2 linked regions of the Ovis aries genome follow. The main gene of each other region encodes a partner of the protein of the gene in region 2 in a complex. Links are inferred from orthologs where the notes say so. Each region holds a gene or a part of one and is shown on either strand. Other genes may lie near its edges.

Region 1 (10,486 bases), on a different chromosome or scaffold from region 2:
CTAGTCTTGAGTACAAGCTCTAGGTGTATAGGCTTCAGTAGTTGCCGTGTGGGCTCAGCAGTCGTTGCCTTGTGGGCTCTAGAGCCCAGACTCAGTAGTCGTGGCACCCAGGCTTAGTCGCCCTGCGACCTATGGGATCTTCCCAGGCCAGTGATTGAATCCATGTTCCCTGCATTGGCAAGCAGATTCTTAATCACTGGACCACCAGGGAAGTCCTAAACAAATTATTTATGAACACTGGCTTGTTGTGATTTTTACATGTGATAAAATATTCTTTTTTTTTTCCAGCCATTTCAAAAAATGTAACACTCACTCTCAACTTGGGGTGTACATATCTCAGCCCACAGGCCAAGTCTGCAGCAAAGGCATTACTCCAGAGCCTGTATAAAGACACTCTGGGGCTTCCCTGGCAGTCCAGTGGTTAGGACTCAGGGCATCCACAGCTGGGGCACAGGTTTGATCCCTAGTTACGGAACTAAGATCCCCATGCGGTGCATGTCGTGGCCAAAAATAAAGGGGTTGGGGGGTGGGATGTGCTCTAAGCCCCAGTTCCAGATGAAAACAGGAAGTGTGAGTGGAAGCTACCCACCCGCTCTGGCTATTGAGAAATAATTAGGAAAGCCCTGAGGAAGCTGGGAGGATGAACAACAGCTAGGGGTCTCTGGGGCCAGGCCCTTTGAGAGACGGTTTCAGTCTGGCCCAGCCCACATGTATCAGAACCAGTAACTCTCTCTCTGCCTGGTCTTTATTCTCTCACGGGCGGGGCTGAAACCTGGGCTGAGCTGTCATCCAAGAAGTGCATCTCTGAATAGGAAGACAGTGTAATGAGAATGACGGGGGCTCAGGAAGGGCGGCCACAAATCCTGCCCCCAGTTTGTTCTGTGATCTTGGGCTTTTCCCTGCTCTGAAGCCAACCCTTGTCTATAATGGAGATTCTGCACACTCGGTTGATAGGATGAAAGAAGAAAGTGTAATGGAAGGTGCCTGGCATATAAGAGGTGCCCTCTAATTGTCAGCCAGCATTCACCCAGATTCTCTCCGTATGGGATGGAGGCCAGAACACCTCCCTGGCCAGACAGTCCCACTCTCTCTGGAAGCAGCTCACCCCATCCTTCAACACCTCCGGTAGTTAGAACACTCTCTTCTTGAGCTGAAAATTGGCTGGCCGTGGCTTCCACTCCCTATCCCACTTCTGGTCCCTGAAACCACACAACAACCCTCTCCTCTTTGCCAGACAAAACTGCCAGTTTGTGGACATTTCCTGGTGGTCCAGGGGTTAAGACTCTGTGTTGCCACTGCAGGGGACACAGGTTCGATCCCTGGTCTGGGAACTAAGGTGCCACAAGGAGCAGCCCCTTCACCAAAAAAAGCTTTTTTTTTTTTAAGTCTGCTTTTTTCAAATCAGCATCCTGAGTCCTTTCACCATTCCGGCCACCCTTGTTAGAATCAGCATTTTCTGAGCCAAACATCAGACACAGCTGCACTGTAAGCGAAAATTAAAGTTTGGGTCCAGAGCTGGCCTGGTCCCAGGTGAGGAAGGCGGAACGCAGAGACTCGATAGCTAAGAGCTGAAGACTCTGGCACAGGGCAGACCTTGGCTCTGCTATTTTGGGACACGTCATTTAACCTCTTCAAGATCAGATTCATCTTCTGTAAAGGGGGAGATCTTTCTGGTAATTTTGTCATAAGGTTTATTAAAAGAGTGCATTTGCCAATGTGCAGGAAGTGTTCCTTGGACTGCAAGGAAATCAAACCAGTCAATCCTAAAGGAAATCAACCCTGAATATTCATTGGGGGGACTGATGCTGATGCTCCAATACTTTGGCTACCTGATGCAAAGAGCTGCCTTACTGGAAAAGACCCTGATGCTGAAAACACTGGAGGCAGGAGAAGAGGGTGCCAGAGGATGAGATGGTTGGATGGCATCATGGACTCAATGCCCAAGAATTTAAGCTTCGGGAGACTGCAGAGGACAGGGAAGCGTGGTGTGCTGCAGTCCGTGGGGTTGCAAAGAGTCGGACAAGATCTAGCGACTGAACAACAACGGGGAGTGCCCAACACATTATCTGGGGTGGGCTGTGCACTCTGGAGGTTAAGGCGAGGGAGAGAAGGCATGATTGTGAGAACTCTTGCCCTGACTCCCAACAGTTCTGTTAAATTCACTCTTCCCATGAAGGTGGGCATAGAACTAGGCTTAATCAGTGTCCTGGCCTAAGGTAGAGTCAGGGCCAGGGCTGTCCAGCAGGGCCAGGGCTGTCCAGCGTGGCCAGGACCAGAAGCAGGACATGAATTGATTCATGGTTGTTGGCCCTGCCAGCTGTGACCACCAGAGGGCACCCCCACCCCAGAGATGGCCTGGACCAGTTAGACACACCCACTCCTCTTCCCAAGACTGTTAAGGCACCTGGTGGGCTTAACTGGGAGAGAAAGTGACAGTCTCAGATGCAGTCGGCCACACTGCCCCAGGCAGGCCCCATGGCCTATGGAAAACGCTCATACTGGAGGCAGAGGTCTGGGTTATAACTCCAACTCTGCTATCCATGACCTTGGGCGAGCCTCTTCATTCACTGACCCAGTTCACAGTGTTGGAACAGACGCCTAAAGTTCTCCCAGCCTGGACAGCGCGTGGTTCTTGGGTTTGAGGCCAGGAGGTTTCTTCTTTCTCACCCCAGCCCTTCTCCCCTCAGGGCAGCACACACTCGCCCGCTGGCAGTGAACCCCGCCAGGGAAGCCACCTGTCCCAGACCCTCAACTCCAAAGTGCTGAGGCACTGGCCGGGGGTGGGGGTGGGGGGCGGTCAGTGCAAGAGGAGGAGGAGGGACAAGGTCAGGTGACCCAAGAGCCTCGAAGGGTCTTGCTTCATCCGGGACAGACATCCGGTTTCCTCTGGTCTCTGCCAGGATTCCGGGGGCAAAGGGATGAGTCATGGGGGGATTGGGGAGTTCCCAGCTAATCAGTTCAGGATGGAGACCGGGAGGATGCCCATCAGAGTGTGGGGTGGGGACAGGCGGCCGGACCCCAACGTCCCTACCTCAGGCCTCTGGCCCCTCAAGAGGGCAATCAGAGAGGCGATCTCTATCGCCTGGGACCTGGCGGGATAGAAATGAGGAAACTAGCTTCTTCCTTCTCCAAATTGGGGGCCTAGGGAGCAGGTGGCTTAAGGATCCCGAGAGAGTGGCTAATGGGGCTGACCCAGGAGATATGCCAGGGGAGGGAGGGACGGAGGAGGGCCCCAGGCCTGCCTCTTCCTTGAGGTTCAACCAGACTCCAGCCTCCCGGCCTTTTATCATTAGCTCAGTTTGGTTCAGAGGTTTAGTTCAAACACTCTGGGGCAATTCAGACCTGGGTGGGGCTGAGGGGAGGAAGGGAGTTTGAGGGGGGCAAGACGTCAAAGAAGAATCAGAGATTCCACAATTTCACAAAACTTTCGCAAACACTTTTTTTTGGTCCCAACCCCCCTGCATTGTCCTGGACAACAAATTTGCATAAAACTTGGGAAGCTATTACTAAGCGTTAGTCGCAGCACCAGGTAATTTCCTCCCAGGCCTCCATGGGCTTGAGTATAAAGGCCCCCGGAGCTGGTCCCTGACAGAACCCAGAACCTACAGCCTCACCCAGACCCTTGGCTGAGCCTTCTGCCCAGAGCCCCATGAAGCTGATGGGTGAGTGTCTGGGTCCTGGGAGGGGAGAGCTGTGGCAGCGGGCAGGGATGCCTGGGCTTCCAGAAAGGTCTGCACTTCTCCTGAGCCCCTGTCTGCTCCCAGCCCTGCAGCTGCTCCTCTGGCACAGCGCGCTCTGGACGGTGCACGAAGCCACCCCCCTTGGCCCTGCCCGTTCCCTGCCCCAGAGCTTCCTGCTCAAGTGCTTAGAGCAAGTGAGGAAAATCCAGGCTGATGGCGCCGAGCTGCAGGAGAGGCTGGTGAGTGAGGGAGGCCAGCGTGGGGACAGGGAGGGGACAGATGCTGTAGCAGGGCAGGGAGGGAAGGAGGCGCAGGGGGGGAGCTGAGGGAGAGAGCAGGGCTGAAGGGCAGCGTGGGAAAGGGCAGCAGGAAGGGACACACGGTGAGAGAAGACACTGGGGGAAAAGGAGAATCAGGAGAGGCCCAGCCCGGAGGGCGGCTGGCGAGGAACTGGGGGAAGAGCCTCTAGTGCTGGGAAGGGTCGGCTGGGAGCTTGGATGGAAGAAGGGGGCTGAGAAGCCTGGCAGGACGGGTGGGGAGGCGGAGATGTGGGGGTGGAGAGGTGGGGGCGCTCGGGGAGGAGGAGGAGCTGGCCCCTCACCCAGCATCCCTCCCACCGCAGTGTGCCACCCACAAGCTGTGCCACCCGGAGGAGCTGGTACTGCTCGGGCACTCTCTGGGCATCCCCCAGGCTCCCCTAAGCAGCTGCTCCAGCCAGTCCCTGCAGCTGGTGAGTGTCCCAAGGGGAGAAGGGAGATGAGGGGGCGGAAGGGTAGGCTGACCTGGAAGGCTCCCCAGTTCTCTAGGCTCCACGCAGGGGCCCTGAGGGGAGCATCCCAGGCGGCGTCCCCTGACTCTCCCACCCGACCCCCCAGACGAGCTGCCTAGACCAACTGCACGGCGGCCTCTTTCTCTACCAGGGCCTCCTGCAGGCCCTGGCGGGCATCTCCCCAGAGTTGGCTCCCACCTTGGACACACTGCAGCTGGACGTCACCGACTTTGCCACCAACATCTGGCTGCAGGTGAGTCTCGTTGGGAGCTGGTCCCCAAAGGTAGTGCTGCAAGCCTGGGGCCCTGGAGTTCTCTAGGGCGGAGCCAAGTCCCTGGACCTGGTTCTTGTCCTGGCTCCACTGTGAACCCTGGATCTTCCACAGCCCATCAGCCCCCGGCCTTCCCTCCCTGTGCCAACTTGCCCTGACTGCTGACCTCATCTTCCCCCACAGATGGAGGACCTGGGGGTGGCCCCTGCTGTGCAGCCCACCCAGGGCACCATGCCGACCTTCACGTCGGCCTTCCAGCGCCGAGCAGGAGGAGTCCTGGTTGCTTCCCAGCTGCAGCGTTTCCTGGGGCTGGCATACCGTGGCCTGCGCTACCTTGCCGAGCCCTGAGCACAGCTCTTCCCCTCTTGTGTATTTATCTCTGTATTTAATATTTATGCTTATTTAAATCTAATATTTAAAGACAGGGAAGCACAGAAAGGAGCCCCAGGCTCCTGGGTCCTTCCTTCCACCTCCATGTGGGGAAAACTCCCCGTCTTGTGTACTGGGACTGGGAGGGAGTTGGTAAATACCAAGTATTACTTCTTGTAGCTGCTCCAGGTCTGGCTCCGCTGTGGGTTCTGGGGAAAGCTGCAGTGAACCCCTACCCTGAGGGTGCCCTCCTCGGGGCCCTTGGAAGCATCGGGAAGTCTCCCAGGTGGGAGACGAGACAGCCCTGTTTAATATTTAAACAGCAGTGTTCCCCGACTGGGTCCTTGCCCCCTGGCTCCAGCCCTGCATTCGGGCATGAAGCCCAGCAGAGGCAGCTGGAGTGGGATGCTTGACCCTGGGGTCCCATGAATTTGCTGGGGAAACTTCTTCTTTTTAAGACTTTTTTCAGGCACATTTTGACTCCTCGTGTGGGGAGCCCAGGCATCAGTGACGCCTCTTGTTTTTCTGGATGCGCTATAGACGCCATGAGGCTCATGACCTTGCTCCAACCCACCGGGGTTGGGGTCAGGATTCTGACTCTCTTTCGGGCTAGGCAGATGGTCGTGTGTCTCTGCCTTGCTGGGTGAGACTGGGAACATGGAAAGGAAAGATGAGGGGGCTTGTGTGACGAGGTGAGAGAGAAACACTCAACTGTTCACTTTCCACCCCGGCCCCCACTTTCTCCCTGTAGCCAAACTTCACGATAATAAAGTGTTTGTCTCCAGTAAATGGCCTTCCTCCTTCTTGAGTCCAGCTGGTGCCTGGCCAGGGGTTGCGGGTGGGGAGTTGAATGGCGGGCGAGGCCCAAGGGAGGGAAGAGGAGGTACGGTCATTCCTTGACACCCACTTGGCATAGACGCCAGGCCGGGTGCTGGGCGCGGAGTTAATGAGGCAGGCGTGGTCCCTGCCCTCGAGGAGCCACGGCCTAGTGGCTGGACAGGAAGCAGATGGGTCAGCAGTACCGGGAGAGGAGAGAGTGGGCTGGCGGTGCTCAACAGTCCAGACGCAGATGGACGTGGGCCTGATGCGAGGAGGATTTAGTATTCGCTTCGGTCTACCACCTTCCATAAACCTTCCCCCTCCTGTGCTCACAGCTGCCCATAAAGATAGGATTATGAAGGGCCTTTTACAGACCAGGGAGCTGAAGTCAGGGCGACAGCTTGGATCAGACCCCAAATTCCAGGCTCTGCGCTTCTCTCCCTCGTTGAGCTCTGCTTCTGACCTGGCGGGGAGCCCGCAGCCTGAACTCACATCTGGGGAGGCTGGAGGGGCCGCTTCACAGCACAGGTCCGAGGCAGACCTCTCGGCCAAGGAGGCACATGTGCTTCTGGGCTGCTACCACCAGACCCAGGACACCCAGATAGCCAACCAGTCCCCGGGTCCCCTCTCAAGATTCTCATCCGCGGCTCAAGTCACCTCCCACTCCCCTTCCCCACTGGCTCCTCAGAAGCAGGGTCAGGCTGAGGGGGCTGGAATCCCAGCTGTGCAGCTCAGGGTGCCCTCCCCCCTGCGGTTGGTCCTGAAAAAACCAGGGCTTGGAGATGTGGGACACAGGCAAGGAAGGGTTAAACAGAGCTCCTGCCCTCATCCCCCGTGGTTCCTCACCCCCCTCACCCCTCATCCCCCAAGTCAGTCCTCCTCCGGAGAGGAAACTCCGGGCCAGTGAGACTCTGGGTGGGGCTTGGAAGGGCTGGGAAGCATCGGAACGAACAGGACACCCTACCCCAGCACCAGCGGGGCCCTCAGCCAAAACCTTTCCCTTTGCAGAGTAAATCAGACTTTGCGAGCAGGGGGAGGCAGCTGGCAGGTATGAGGAAGGGAAGCTGCTCCCGTGCCCTGCCCTGCCCCTACCGCGTGGACAAACACGGGAAGCCCAGCCCGTGCCCAGCCCTCCCCTGAACTCTCCGCCTGCCTCCTCTACCACCAGACGGCAGGGGACCAAGGAGAAGACAGTGCTCTCCGCCCACGCCAGACACGGGCACCGATGGCTATAAAGGGATCCACGAGGTCTTTATTTACAACTGAGAGGAGGCAAACACACCTCATGTAAAAAAATATATATACATATATATACACACACACACAGACACACACACCCCGCACCCATAAAGTTCCTTGGAGGTAAGTCCACTCTTGGAAGGGGGACAAGCAGGCGGGTGGGGGTGAGGCGGGGGTGTTGAAGAGCCTGCTCTGAGTTAAGAAGCAGGCTGCGCACGCACATGAGGTACTGACAGTGGGGAGAGGAAATTATGAAAGAAACTGGGAGCCGTCCTGGAGGTCAGAAGTCAGGAGCAGGGGGAACGATCTGGAAAGCGACCGGGGGAGGTTACGTCATGTGGACGTGAGCAACGATGGCTCATCGTCCTGCAAGCTCCCTTCTGAGGCGCACAGGGCTGGAACGCTCCCGCCAGCCCCCGTGGCCACCCCAGGCCCCTCAGAGGGCGGCGATGGCTTTGGCGGCCACCTGGCGGCCCAGGGGCAGGCTGAGGTCCGTGATGGCCAGAACCACCTTGGGGCTGGACATGGCCGACACCTTCACCAGTTCTGATACCTGTCAGACAGACAGCTGCTGAGCGGGGTGGTGGTGGGCGTGATGTCTGGGGGAACAAGCCCCTCCCCACTGGCCACTGGACCCTGAGCTCTCCTGAGACTTGCTGACCCGCTCTGAGCTAGAGGGGGCCGGCTGGGGCCCGCAGGGGTGGGACACTCACGGTGGTGAAGGGCATGAACTGCAGGATGCTGCCTCGGCCGCCCTGCTCCAGGCAGTCCACGCACTCTTCCATAAACCACTGCACGAACTGCGTGTGGGGGCCAGCGGTCCGAGAGCCCAGGATGGAGGAAATGAGCAGGAACAGGTTGGCTAGGAAAGAGGGGGGCAGGAGAAGAATTCCGTGAGAAGGGCTTGGGAAGCAGTCAGATTCCGGGAGAAGAAAGAAGTGCCAAGGGGGTCCCCAAAATGGGGACATCAGAAAGAGAAAGCACTTAAGAAAGCTGAGGGCGAGCCAGAGAAGGACTCGATGGGGGCCTGGGGGAGACAGGAGAGCTGGCGGCCAGGGGAGATGGGCCAGAGGTGACGAAGGGAATGAGGCAGAGGAGACGAGGCTCGGGAACCAGGGTGGGAGGCCTCACCCAGGACTCGGTTCAGTGGATCTCTCATGTTGACTGTGTGGAGCTGGGAGGCCGACAGGGAGCTGCTCATGGACCGGTCAGCTGTGGGGACAAATGAGGGAGCATAGAGGAAATGGCCTCTTGTAATCAAAACCACTGTCCCAGGGGAAGCTCTCACCCCTCAGGAGTGGAGGGCCCACCCAGAGAGGTCCTTGGGTCCAGTCACATGGGCCCCAAACACAGACACCCCCACAAGCAGATAAGAGAGAAGAACTAATGTTAGGTCAGCGCCACCAGGCACCAAGCTGCAGGCTGTACACGGGTGAAACCGATAAATCCGCACATCTCCGTTTTACAGACAAAGAAGCAGAGGCTAAGATTCGCTAAGTAACTAGCCAAGAGTCACTAACCAAGTAACTAGCCAAGGGGTCTGTGCGTGGCAGACCCTTCATCTTTCCTCTTCTTAAGCACACTGGTCCCCTAATCCCTCAAGGCCCCAGAGAACCTCCAGCCTCAGGAGAAACCTCTGGAAACAGGAAAAACTAAACACCACGGGAGACCCCTTGGCAGGGAGGCGTGAGGACATCTAGGGAAGCAGGTGGGGGAGGGCTGTTCTCCTGACAGGAAGAGTGGGGAGCAGTCCAGCCCCAGTCCAGGCTGCTCCAGGCCTCAGGGCCCATTTCAGGGGAAGGAAGGTCAGGGCTGAGTCAAGGGCACAGTCTGTGCCTGAGGCAGTGAACTCACTGGGGTGAGGGGTGGGGAGGGGTCAGCTGTGCACCCTGGGCTTGGCTGAGATCTGGGTAGGACAGAGCCAACCCTGAAGGAGAAAGCACAGCAACCTCTAGGGTCTCCAGGGCAGGAAACCGAGCAGCTGGAGGGGCAGACTGGGGCAAATGCCCACCACACTCCCTTGGCCCAGCCAGAGGGACGCTGGGGCCAGAGCAGAGCGCCTCTCTGCAGGCGTGAGCTCCCAGAAAGGAAGCGGCCGCCTGGCTCTGTCCACACACTCACTGGGACTCGAAAGGATATTTGCATCTTCCTCATTGGAGCTCAGCAGGCGCATCAGCTTCGAGGGCTGCATGTCGTCCAAGGGGAAGAGGCTGATGTAATCCTAAGGGGCAGAGGAGTCACGTCACCACCCCTGCACCCTGACATCTCCCAGGATGAGGGAGGCAGCTGGAGTTCAGCTGGGAATCAAGTCCCCACAGGCCGCAGGCAGTATCTCCTGGGGGGCACCTTCCCTCTCGCCACCCTCCCCCCACCCTAGGGAGAGACACTCCCACGCAGTCACCCAATACAGTGGCCCAGGGGCAGGAGCCATGCCTGGCTGCCTGTGCCCAGGAAGGCGCCTCTTAAAAGAAAGGCTCAGCACACGTCTGTGGGCAAGGGAACAGGAAGGGGTGCCCTCCTACCTCAATGTCTTCCCGATGTCTCTTCTTTTGGCGGGAGGATGCCTGTCCCTTGTGGGAGGAGTAGGAACTCAGGGCACACCAGACGGCCAGCCTGGCAAAGGGGTCCAGGAGATGGGGGGAAAATCAAAGGGGGCTTCTGTGCCCGTTGACCAGGCCCCACCCGACAGGGCTTCCCCGCAGTCCAGCTTCCGGGCTGGGGCCCAGGCGGGGCACCCAAAACCAGGCTGGGGGACTGGAGGCTCCGCACAGAACCCTACTTGGCGAGAGCGGTGCCAGGGGGGTCCATGAGGCTGTGCCACTTGGAGGAGTCAGTGAGCAGGCCTGGCAGGATGTGGCCCAGCAGGACCAGGGTCACCTGCTGCATGTCCAGACAGAAGATGGAGTACAGCAGCTCCACTGCCCGCAGTGTGTACTCCTTCCGTGTCTCCTTCAACAGCTCCTGGGGGGGCAGGGGAGGGGGACCCAGGAGCTGAGGACCCTCAACACAGGGCAATGACATCCCACAGCTCCCCTCAGAGCCCAGGAGCGCCCCAGGTGAGGAATGGCCTCTGGAGCCCAAGGAACCTTCTTGAGCTGGGATTCGCCAGGCTGAGGGTTGGGGAGCCAGCCAGCCAGACCTAGCTCAGTCTCATCAGGCCTGTCTCTGGCAGTCTGAGGATGCCTGCTCCCACAGCCCACCCCCAGCACTCCCGTACCTTAATCAGGTTGTTGCAGAACCAGTAGACACCACCCATGTGCAGCAGGGTGTCGAAGATGTGGATGGAGCGGCTGTCCACCCATCCCTTCTCCAGCACCTTAGCAAATATGTCCGTCAGCA
Region 2 (10,204 bases):
ACTGAGCGCATTCACTTTCCCTTTCACTTGGTGAAGTGGAGGGAAGGTGCATCCACTCAATCATTCATTCAACAAACCTGTATCAAGGGCTCATCACGTGACAGACGGGTTGAAGATCCTGGAGATGAGTTTCTAAGCAAAATACACTAAAACCCTTGCTCTCATGAACTTCCATTCTAGGCGGCAGGGACAGCCAGTGTGCGACGATGAAGAGGTAATATTAAAGGAGAAAGGGAGCTAGGGAGTGAGGGGTGGTTGCAGTTTTTAAAGGGTGGTCAGTAAGGGCCTCAATGAGAAAGTGACATTTGAGCAATCACTTTCTGCTCAAATGGAGGGGAGGGAGTGACCCATATAGTCATTTGGGGGAAATTAGTCCAGGCAGAGGAAACAGCAAGTGCAAAGGCCCAGAGGCAGGAGGGAGCCTGAAAAGTACAACAGAATGGCTGGAGCATAGCAGCAAGGGGAAGAATTGTCACAGAAGGGCCAGAGAGAACCCCTAGTTGAAAAGGGCTTTGTAGGTTGTTGAAAAGGCTTTGACCTTGAGTGAGATGAGAGCCATTGGGAGCTGGGGCAGAGGATGACATGACCTGACTTCTGTTTGATCAGCATCACACTGGCCACTGAAGGAACAATAGATGGTTGGGGGCAGGGGTCAGTACAAGGATGAATGGAAGGGGGAGGGGAAGGGGGGCCATTGCAGTGATCCAGGTAAAAGAAAGGATGGCTTAGAGCTGGCTGCTATTGGTTTAAGTGATATTTATATTTTCCAACTTTTCATCAGGGAAATATCCAAACATATGGCCAAGCTGAACTTTACAGTGAATACCTATCTACTCAGGATTTTGGTTCTAATATTTTGAAAGAAGAGTCGATGGGATTTGCTGAGCATGTGGATCCTATGGGGCACCTCAGAGAGGTAGCTGCCGACAGATGGATATTTCAAACTGGAACCAGAACCAAAACCCAAGTCTGCCCCCTCGCAACAGACTCAGAAGCTCACTTTTCCTGAAATGCGTCATACGGTGTGGACACTTCACTAGTGTGTTAGTTCAGTTCAGTTCAGTCGCTCAGTCGTGTCTGACTCTTTGCGACCCCATGAATCGCAGCACGCCAGGCCTCCCTGTCCATCTCCAACTCCCGGAGTTCACTCAGACTCACGTCCATAGAGTCACTGATGCCATCCAGCCATCTCATTCTCGGTCGTCCCCTCCTCCTCCTGCCCCCAATCCCTCCCAGCATCAGGGCCTTTTCCAATGAGTCAACTCTTGGCATGAGGTGGCCAAAGTATTGGAGTTTCAGCTTCAGCATCATTCCTTCCAAAGAAATCCCAGGGCTGATCTCCTTCAGAATGGACTGGTTGGATCTCCTTGCTGTCCAAGGGACTCTCAAGAGTCTTCTCCAACACCACAGTTCAAAAGCATCAATTCTTCAGCGCTCAGCTTTCTTCACAGTCCAACTCTCACATCCATACATGACCACAGGAAAAACCATAGACTTGACTAGACGGACCTTAGTCGGCAAAGTAATGTCTCCGCTTCTGAATAAACTATCTAGGTTGGTCATAACTTTTCTTCCAAGGAGTAAGCGTCTTTTAATTTTATGGCTGCATTCACCATCTGCAGTGATTTTGGAGCCCAAAAACATAAAGTCTGACACTGTTTCCACTGTTTCCCCATCTATTTCCCTTGAAGTGATGGGACCAGATGCCATGATCTTCGTTTTCTGAATGTTGAGCTTTAGGCCAACTTTTTCACTCTCCTCTTTCACTTTCATCACGAGGCTTTTTAGTTCCTCTTCACTTTCTGCCATAAGAGTGGTGTCATCTGAATATCTGAGGTTATTGATATTTCTCCCAGCAATCTTGATTCCAGCTTGTGTTTCTTCCAGTCCAGCATTTCTCATGATGTAACTCTGCATAGAAGTTAAATAAGCAGGGTGACAATATACAGCCTTGACGTACTCCTTTTCCTATTTGGGACCAGTCTGTTGTTCCATGTCCAGTTCTAACTGCTGCTTCTTGACCTGCATACAGATTTCTCAAGAGGCAGGTCAGGTGGTCTGGTATTCCCATCTCTTGCAGAATTTTCCACAGTTGATTGTGATCCACACAGTCAAAGGCTTTGGCATAGTCAATAAAGCAGAAATAGATGTTTCTCTGGAACTCTCTTGCTTTTTCCATGATCCAGCAGATGTTGGCAGTTTGATCTCTGGTTCCTCTGCCTTTTCTAAAACCAGCTTGAACATCAGGGAGTTCACAGTTCACGTATTACTGAAGCCTGGCTTGGAGAATTTTGAGCATTACTTTACTAGCATGTGAGATGAGTGCAGTTGTGCGGTAGTTTGAGCATTCTTTTGCATTGCCTTTCTTTGGAATTGGAATGAAAACTGACCTTTTCCAGTCCTGTGGCCACTGCTGAGTTTTGAGCATATTGAGTGCAGCACTTTCACAGCATTATCTTTCAGGATTTGAAACAGCTCAACTGGAATTCCATCATCTCCACTAGCTGTGTTCGTAGCGATGCTTTCCAAGGTCCACTTGACTTCACATTCCAGGATGTCTGGCTCTAGATTAGTGATCACATCATCATGATTATCTGGGTCATGAAGATCTTTTTTGTACAGTTCTTCCGTGTATTCTTGCCACCTCTTCTTAATATCTTCTGCTTCTGTTAGGTCCATACCATTTCTGTCCTTTATCAAGCCCATCTTTGCATGAAATGTTCCCTTGGTATCTCTGATTTTCTTGAAGAGATCGCTAGTCTTTCCCCTTCTGTTCTTTTTCTCTATTTCTTTGCATTGATTGCTGAAGAAGTCTTTCTTATCTCTTCTTGCTATTCTATGGAACTCTGAATTCAGATGCTTATATCTTTCCTTTTCTCCTTTGCTTTTCACCTCTCTTCTTTTCATAGCTATTTGTAAGGCCACCCCAGACAGCCATTTTGCTTTTTTGCCTTTCTTTTCCATGGGGATGGTCTTGATCCCTGTCTCCTGTACAATGTCACGAACCTCATTCCATAGTTCATCAGGCACTCTATCAGATCTAGGCCCTTAAATCTATTTCTCACTTCCACTGTATAATCATAAGGGATTTGATTTAGGCCATACCTGAATGGTCTAGCAGTTTTCCCTACTTTCTTCACTTTGAGTCTGAATTTGGTAATAAGGAGTTCATGATCTGAGCCACAGTCAGCTCCTGGTCTTGTTTTTGTTGACTGTATAGAGCTTCTTCATCCCTGGCTGCAAAGAATATAATCAATCTGATTTCGGTGTTGACCATCTGGTGATGTCCATGTGTAGAGTCTTCTCTTGTGTTGTTGGAAGAGGGTGTTTGCTATGACCAGTGCGTTCTCTTGGCAAAACTCTATTAGTCTTTGCCCTGCTTCATTCCGCATTCCAAGGCCAAATTTGCCTGTTACTCCAGGTGTTTCTTGACTTCCTACTTTTGCCTAATCTTTATTGAGTCATAAATCCAAGAACCTGTGAACAGTCTGAACCCTCTTCAGAAAATGCACAGAAAATTATTTGTAAACAGCTGCAGGGTTTTGTGGATACAGACCATGAAAGACATAAAATATAGTCTGTTTCACTCAATGGAAAACATTTAGTTTGGCAGAATCACTGAGAGTGAACATTATTAATGTCTCGTGAGCCTATGAAGACCGGAGCCTCGTGAGTGACCCCTGCCTTGTGCCCAGAGTCCGTATTTCTGCTTCTGCAAGGCCTTCAGGCAGCAGGGGGAACATGACGTGCAGAGGGAGCGGGGAGGAAGGTACCGTGGTCCAGAATTCCCCGTAACCTTGGAGGCCGCCCCTTGAATATTGGGAGGATCAGGGCCCCAAAGCCAGTGCCGAAAAGAGGCTTAGGGCCAAGCAAGCCTTCGAGCCAGGGTCTGTCTCCAAGTGATGCTCCCCCAGGGCATGGGGGCATGGGAATGGCACCCAGGCGGGTTGGAGCCTGGGCCCTGCCAGCCTCAAAGCTTTGAGTCAGGAAATCCGGAGGCAGAGGTGGGGGACGACATTGCCACATCTCTCAGCCCCTTCAAGACCCCCAAGGCAGGAAGGCTGCCCAGGCCTCACCAGCTTCCCTCCCAGGCTCCTTCCTGGGAGGAAGGGGCTGCCCGTGCCCGCGTCAACAATGCAAGGGAGGGAAGGAGTTGGGCAGGTGTTGCAATCGGCAGCCCCTGCGCCTGTCAGAGACGGAGCCATTAACGACAGGGTTGGGGACAGAAGCCCGCCTGCGGCTGTTTTCAGGAACTTGCCTTGAAGAGGAGAGCAGAGACGGGGAGGCCGGGCGTGTGCCCGGCCGGCCGCAGGCTCCAGCGTGAGTAGGGGAGCCCCTGGGAGGGCTGGGCCTGGGAATGATGGGACCCTGGAGTCTCAGGTCCAGTCCCTTCTCTCTGCCAAGGGCGCGTGGCCCTTGGTAACCTTGGACCAGCACTCCAGCCTTAAGAATTTACCCCTGGGAACCAGGAGCCCTTGACACTGAGTCTTTTTTCCCAAGGTGCCCCTACTTTTTCGGGGGGTGGGTGCTGCATTTGGGAAGTCACAGACAGACAAATATCTCTTTGGGACACTGAGCTGGGCTCAAGAAAGGGCTGGATTCAGGGAAAGTTATACTCATTATTTGCCTCCAAGTCTCTGACAGCCTGTGTCTTAACTGCTTCCAGTCTCCATGTAAATTTCACACCATGTAAATTTCTCTCTTTCCTCCTCAGCCCTTCTCTGGCTTGCTTGGCTCTGAGCTCCTGTCTGTCTGTCTCAGAGTCTCTCTATGCCTCTCTGTTTGTCTCTCAAGGGTCCCTTTGTCTCTTGAGTCTTAAACTCTGAGTATCTCTTTCTTCTCAGCCTCCGAGTGCCTCCGTCTCTGAGTATCACCATCCCTTGCCTCAGGCTCCTTTCTCTCTCCCCCTCAGTCTTTCTCTCTGAGATCTCTCTCCAGCATTTTGGTCTGTGCATCCCACTTTCCTACTTTTTCCACCTGTCTTTCTCTGTCTGAACCACATCTAGGAAGTCCTCTCCCTGTTCTGTCCCAGCCCCCTCCTCTCCCCAACCCTCTTCCCAAGAATCTTCACGTGAAGGGGAGTAGAAAGAACAGGGGAGACAGGGGCGTGAACTGGAGAAGGGGGAGGCGAGAAGGCTGAGTGTGATGGGATGGAAAGGAGAGGAAAGCAGAAGGGTGGTGGGGAGCAGGGGTTGGTGGTGCAGTGACCCCAGGGGACAACATGGCATGCTGGGACTCCAGAGTCCAGAGAGGGAGCAGGGATGGCTGGAAGCAAAGGGGGAGACTGGGAGGCCAAGGAGCAGGGAACCCAGAAACGGGGCTTTGAAACATGAAATGTGACACAGACAAAAGCGAGGTGGCAGTCCTAGGAGGCAGAGACCACACAGCTGGTAAGCAGGCGAGAGAGGTACTAAACCATGCTGGTTCCATGAGGGGGTGTCCTGCTTTACGGCGCATGAAAGTAACATGGTTATGGAGCGCTTCCTCTACGCAAGATCTGTGCTAAGTGCCCTTATCACGGACCATCTCATTTCATCCTCACCCCGACCCGGAGAGGCAGGAGCTATTGTTATCCTTCCTTCACAGATGGGGTAACCGAGGCTCAGAAAGGTGGAATAATCTGTCCAAGGTCGCCAAGCTGGTAAGTGGTGGACCTGGGGTTCAGATGACTCAAAGCTGGGCCCCCAGAAAGTGACGCCATGCTCCACCTGGTCCCAGATCCCACTCGGCTGGGGTGGGGAATATCCAAGGTTGCCATGGGTGACCAGGGACTGATACCCTGTGCCAACCCCTGGCAACCCAGGGAGAAGATGCCTGGGCCCTTGGGATTTGGGTTTGGGTTGCCTACTGGGAGCCCGTGGAGAGGGATAAGTGGTGCCTCACCAGGCAGGAGGGCTAGGAAATGATCAAAAATACATAGGAACAGGCACTAGTGTCCTGAAATCTGAGCCAAGGAGACGAACTCTTCCCCAACAAGTGTGCATTGGTGGATAGTCAAACCGGATGCTGTAGGAACAAGGTTGCCAACCACTAACTGGTAGACTGGGGTCCTCTGAACAATTGTGCGGGTTTCTCACTGCACAAAGCTGCCCAGAAAGTAGAGGCTGAAATCCAGCCTGTTCTCTAGTTGCTAGGTCCTTGTGTGGAGCTGCATTTGTCTAGAGAAAGGGATGCTTTTTTCCTGATTTGCAAAAAGATGACTTAGGGGCTAGCATCCACCTGGTATCCTGATACTGCAACATATAATGAGGGACCAGGGATTTAAGTAAGACCCCTGCAGGCAGAAACAGCTTTGGGTATCTGCAGTTATTCACTCCTCTGTCTTGGAGCGAAAGAAGCTTAATCTTTTCTGAGCACAGGGGATCGGTTGGGACGCCACCTACATGTACGTGTTCATGTAGGTACATGCAAAAGCTGGTCAGCGATTCCCACTGATCTGCCACCCAGACGTCAGTTAGTGCCGGAGGACCAGGTGTCTGGCCCCAAGACTCCAGTGGGAGCAGAGTGGAAAGGCTGGAAGCCACTCCAGCAATAGAAACCTTTGCTTACTTCCTGAGACTAATGTACTAATGCTCCCTCCATCTGGGCACTGTCGCCATGACCACAGGATATCTGGTCCCAGAAGGCCTCCAGAGGTCTGTGCCCAGAATTGGGGTATCCTCTCAACCCACCCTTCCCTTTAGCCATTGCTGTGGAAGCCAGCTTTTCAAGGTGCACCCTGTCCTCAGCTGTTCCGTGGGGTTGTCCCTTTCTGCCAGGCAGTGAGCGTTTCTGACTCTTTGAGCATGGCTTACCTTGGAGGACCTGCCCAGTACTCAGACATGTGCAATGTGATACGTGCCAGGGAGTTAATACCCCAAGGAACAGCCCTTGACCAACAAGGGGCAGGAACCGGTGGACAATGTTCCCATCCTGTCTGCCAGCCAAGTTCTGAGGCATGTTCAGCGTGGCTCCTTGCAAGATTCCAGCAGGATTGAGCCCCAGCTGTACCCAGTTTAATGATGTACCCTTGTGTTGGCTTTCCTTCTTACCCGTTTCATTCTCCCCTCTCCCTTACTCTGTTCCTGGAGTCTTCCCCCAAATAAACTACCTGCAGCCAAGCCTTCATCTCAGGCTTTGCTTTTAGCAGGCTGGGAGACTGGCTAAAACAGAAGGGAACGGGAAGAATGCTGTTCCCTGTGGCTCCCTTCCCTGCTCTCTCCTTAAAGGCACATATAAGAATAACAGTCATTTAAGAGTCATTTCCTATGTGCCAGGTACCGTGCGATGCCCTTGACTTGCATCATTTTGGGTCTTCCTCCCCAGACCCTATGCAGTATAGGTTTTTGTTACCTTCATTTTGCAGAGCAACCAGGTTCAGAGAGGTCAAGTAACCTGGCTGAAGCCACACCGTAGCAGAGCAAAGACTAAGCTCAGCTCTGACTCCAAAGCCCATGACCTTCACCACCCTCTCTGTCTCCAGGTGAGGACCAAGCCAGCACGATGGTGGGGCTGGGAGCCTGGAGCCTGGTGGGAGCTGCTCTGATCATCCTGCTGCTCCCCAGAAGTGAGTGTGGTCAGGGATGAGGGTGCCATGGGGTGGGGGGATCACAGGGAGAGATGCTGGGGATGGAGGAGGGGGTCATTTCCCTGCATTGTCACAGTGCTCCTGGGGTTCCCAGAGAATCGACTGGGCCACAGATGCAGGGTAGCTGGGCTCCCACACACAGACCTCTGCCAGCAAACCACCACCTCTGAGGAAAGGTGAGAGGACCTGGGCTAGCCAGCGTGGGGAAGGTGCAAAAGACCCAGGTCTTGTCTGCAAATCTCTACTGGGTTGTGTCTGAGTCCTGTGCAGCCTTCGTGGGCTGTAGAGGGATCAGGGTGGAAGCCGTGAAAAGGCAGGTTTAATCCTTAAGCAAGAAATCTCCAGGACTTCCCTGGCTTCCCTGTCGGAGTCCCCAGTGGTTAGGACTCCGTACTTGCACTGCAGGGGGCACAGGTTCAATTCCTGGTCATGGAACTAAGATCCAACACGCCACATGGTGCTGCCAAAAAAATAATAATAATTTTTTTTAAAAAATGAATCCCAGGCACAGCTCTCCAGACTATGGAGACTATCTTGAGAGGTGCAGAGCCTCCCATCTCTAGGGGTATGCAAGCCAAGGCCCAACAGGGGTCAGCAAACTTTGACGTCATTTTCAGCTTTGCAGGCCACATACAGTCTCTGTGGCATGTTCTTGCTTATTTGTTGTTTGGTTTGGCTTTTCACCCTCTAGAAATATAAAAAGTGTTCTCAGCTGGCAAGCCATACAAAACAGATCATCCTAGCCCTGTGGTAGAGGACTTGGTATTACATGGTGTTTTGAAGTAAACAGTTGCAAGAGTCCTGGTCTGAAATTCTGAGTCTGTGATGTGATAGGAGCCCTATAAACTTGCTCTGTGACCCTGAACAAATTGCTCCTCCTCTTGGGGCTTCAGCATCCCCATCAGCAAAATGGGCTGCAGAACAGCTGGGAGAGGAGAGAAGGCACTGTGGGCAGAGTCCAGTGCTTGTTCTTACTCCACACATATTCACCAAGGGCCTGCATGGCGCTCAGCTCTGGGAATGCAGCAGTGAGCAAAACAGCCAGGGATTCTGGCCTTGCAGAACCTATGGTCTAGCTGGGGGTACAGAGTAGCAAATCATCACGTGACTCTATAATTACGAAAGATATGAGCTTTGGGAAAGTTCAGGGGCCCTGGCATGGTCTGACTGGTCAGAACCCGGTCTGGTTCCTCACAAGATGCCTGAATGTCAACCAGGTGAAAGAGGGGTGGCAGAAAGGAAAAGGAGCACCTCTGAAAGGATCAGCAGGTATGAAGATCGGGAGACGGAGGGAACGTGGCATTTTCAGAGAATAGCATGTAGGCTAGAGGGACTGGAGCTGAGAGGCAGTGGTCTGGGCTGGAACCAGGAGGTTTAGGCAGGGGCCAGGCCACAGGGGTTGTGAGAAGGATCTAAGTCTTGGGCTGTGAGAAGGATCTGAGTCTTTAACCTAATCATAGCAGCAAATACTTACATGCCAGGGACTGTTCTGAGTGCCTTACGCATATTCTCACATCTAATCCTCCCAACATCACTAAGTTAAGGACTTTTTTATCTTCATGCCACAGATGAGAAAACCAGGGCACAGAAAATCTGGGTAACATCAAGGTCACAAAATTACTAAGCAGTAGAACCAGGTTCTAAACCTAGGCAGTCTAGTTCCAACATCCACGCTCTTATCCATCACAGCGCACTGCCTTTCAGAAGAATAATGTGCCATTGAAGTGCTGTGGTCATGATAGGGTAACAATCAGATATGAATTCTGGAAAGATTGCTGTGGCCGCGGGCTTCTTATCACTCTAACCATTGTTTCGCCATTGTTGGGGAGGGGACTGGTCTCCATCTGGTGGCGTGCTGGCGTTGGCTTGCAAGCACTGATTGTGTACCTCTTTTCCCAAGTTCACATTCAGTAATGTCAGCCTGGTAGCTTGAAATCAGCCCCGGTGGGAATATTTACACCAGGGAAAGCAACCCAGGCTACAAGCCAGGACCCGTTTCTCTCGGTATAGCAGGTTGATAAACATTTACCCCCACACCACTATCTCCATCTCAACTCGAGAGCCTCTCCCAATCTCTGCACACATCCTTGCCATTCCAGCACCTGCCCCACCCCCCCCTGAATCTTGGAGGGTAAAGCAGGAAGGTAAAGGTACTGAGTCTAGGAGGCCAGCTCTGCCAGACAGAGGAGTCACTTACGGCCCATTCTCTTCCACCCCAGGCCTGGAGCAGTGTGGGCATATCCTCCTCTCAGCCCCCACCGTCCGCCTGGGAGATCAAGTCACGGCCTCCTGCATCATCACCCAGAACTGCAGCCACCTGGGCACCGAATGGCGGATCGTATGGAAACTGGAACCGGAGCTTCATCCCAGGGAGAGGCAGCGGCACCTGCCGAATGGGACCCTGCAGTCCACCATCACCTTGCCCCACGTCAGCCACTCTCGGGTCCTGCTCTCCTGCTGCCTGCACTGGGGCAACAGCCTCCAGATCCTGGACCAGGCTGAGCTGCAGGCAGGCTGTGAGTCCCTGCAGCCATCCCCCCGCTCTGCCCCCAATGCCCTCCTGCCAATACTAATAAGAGCTATTCTTTCTTGAGCTCTTGCTCAATGAGTACTTTATAAGCATGATATCACATCTTT

Evidence for each region.
Region 1: the proteins of CSF3R (region 2) and CSF3 are in contact, whole or in part, in a crystal structure (PDB 2D9Q), measured with the Homo sapiens proteins. The link is inferred for Ovis aries from reciprocal best matches to the Homo sapiens genes CSF3R and CSF3. Residues at the interface, in NP_000751.1 of Homo sapiens: Arg164, Arg190, Lys191, Leu193, Leu194, Leu195, Tyr196, Gln197, Asp220, Met222, His261, Ile262, Asn263, Arg311, Pro313, Leu314; in NP_000750.1 of Homo sapiens: Ser42, Leu45, Lys46, Glu49, Gln50, Arg52, Lys53, Leu141, Asp142, Asp145, Thr148, Thr149, Gln152.

The regions. Positions count from the first base shown.
Region 1 is NC_056064.1:40,077,706-40,088,191, forward strand, and holds CSF3 (granulocyte colony-stimulating factor), read left to right. Parts: upstream 1-3,530; 5' UTR 3,531-3,649; coding exon 3,650-3,662; intron 3,663-3,764; coding exon 3,765-3,919; intron 3,920-4,302; coding exon 4,303-4,410; intron 4,411-4,555; coding exon 4,556-4,702; intron 4,703-4,903; coding exon 4,904-5,068; 3' UTR 5,069-5,878; downstream 5,879-10,486. Other genes in the region: MED24 (mediator of RNA polymerase II transcription subunit 24), read right to left, coding at 7,584-7,700, 7,861-8,009, 8,279-8,359, 9,269-9,368, 9,670-9,760, 9,927-10,108, 10,365-10,486. UniProt on the Homo sapiens protein: Granulocyte/macrophage colony-stimulating factors are cytokines that act in hematopoiesis by controlling the production, differentiation, and function of 2 related white cell populations of the blood, the granulocytes and the monocytes-macrophages.
Region 2 is NC_056054.1:11,307,827-11,318,030, reverse strand, and holds the start of CSF3R (granulocyte colony-stimulating factor receptor), read left to right. Parts: upstream 1-4,242; 5' UTR 4,243-4,320; intron 4,321-5,586; exon of another isoform or gene 5,587-5,641; intron 5,642-7,462; 5' UTR 7,463-7,482; coding exon 7,483-7,546; intron 7,547-9,786; coding exon 9,787-10,083; intron 10,084-10,204. UniProt on the Homo sapiens protein: Receptor for granulocyte colony-stimulating factor (CSF3), essential for granulocytic maturation. Plays a crucial role in the proliferation, differentiation and survival of cells along the neutrophilic lineage.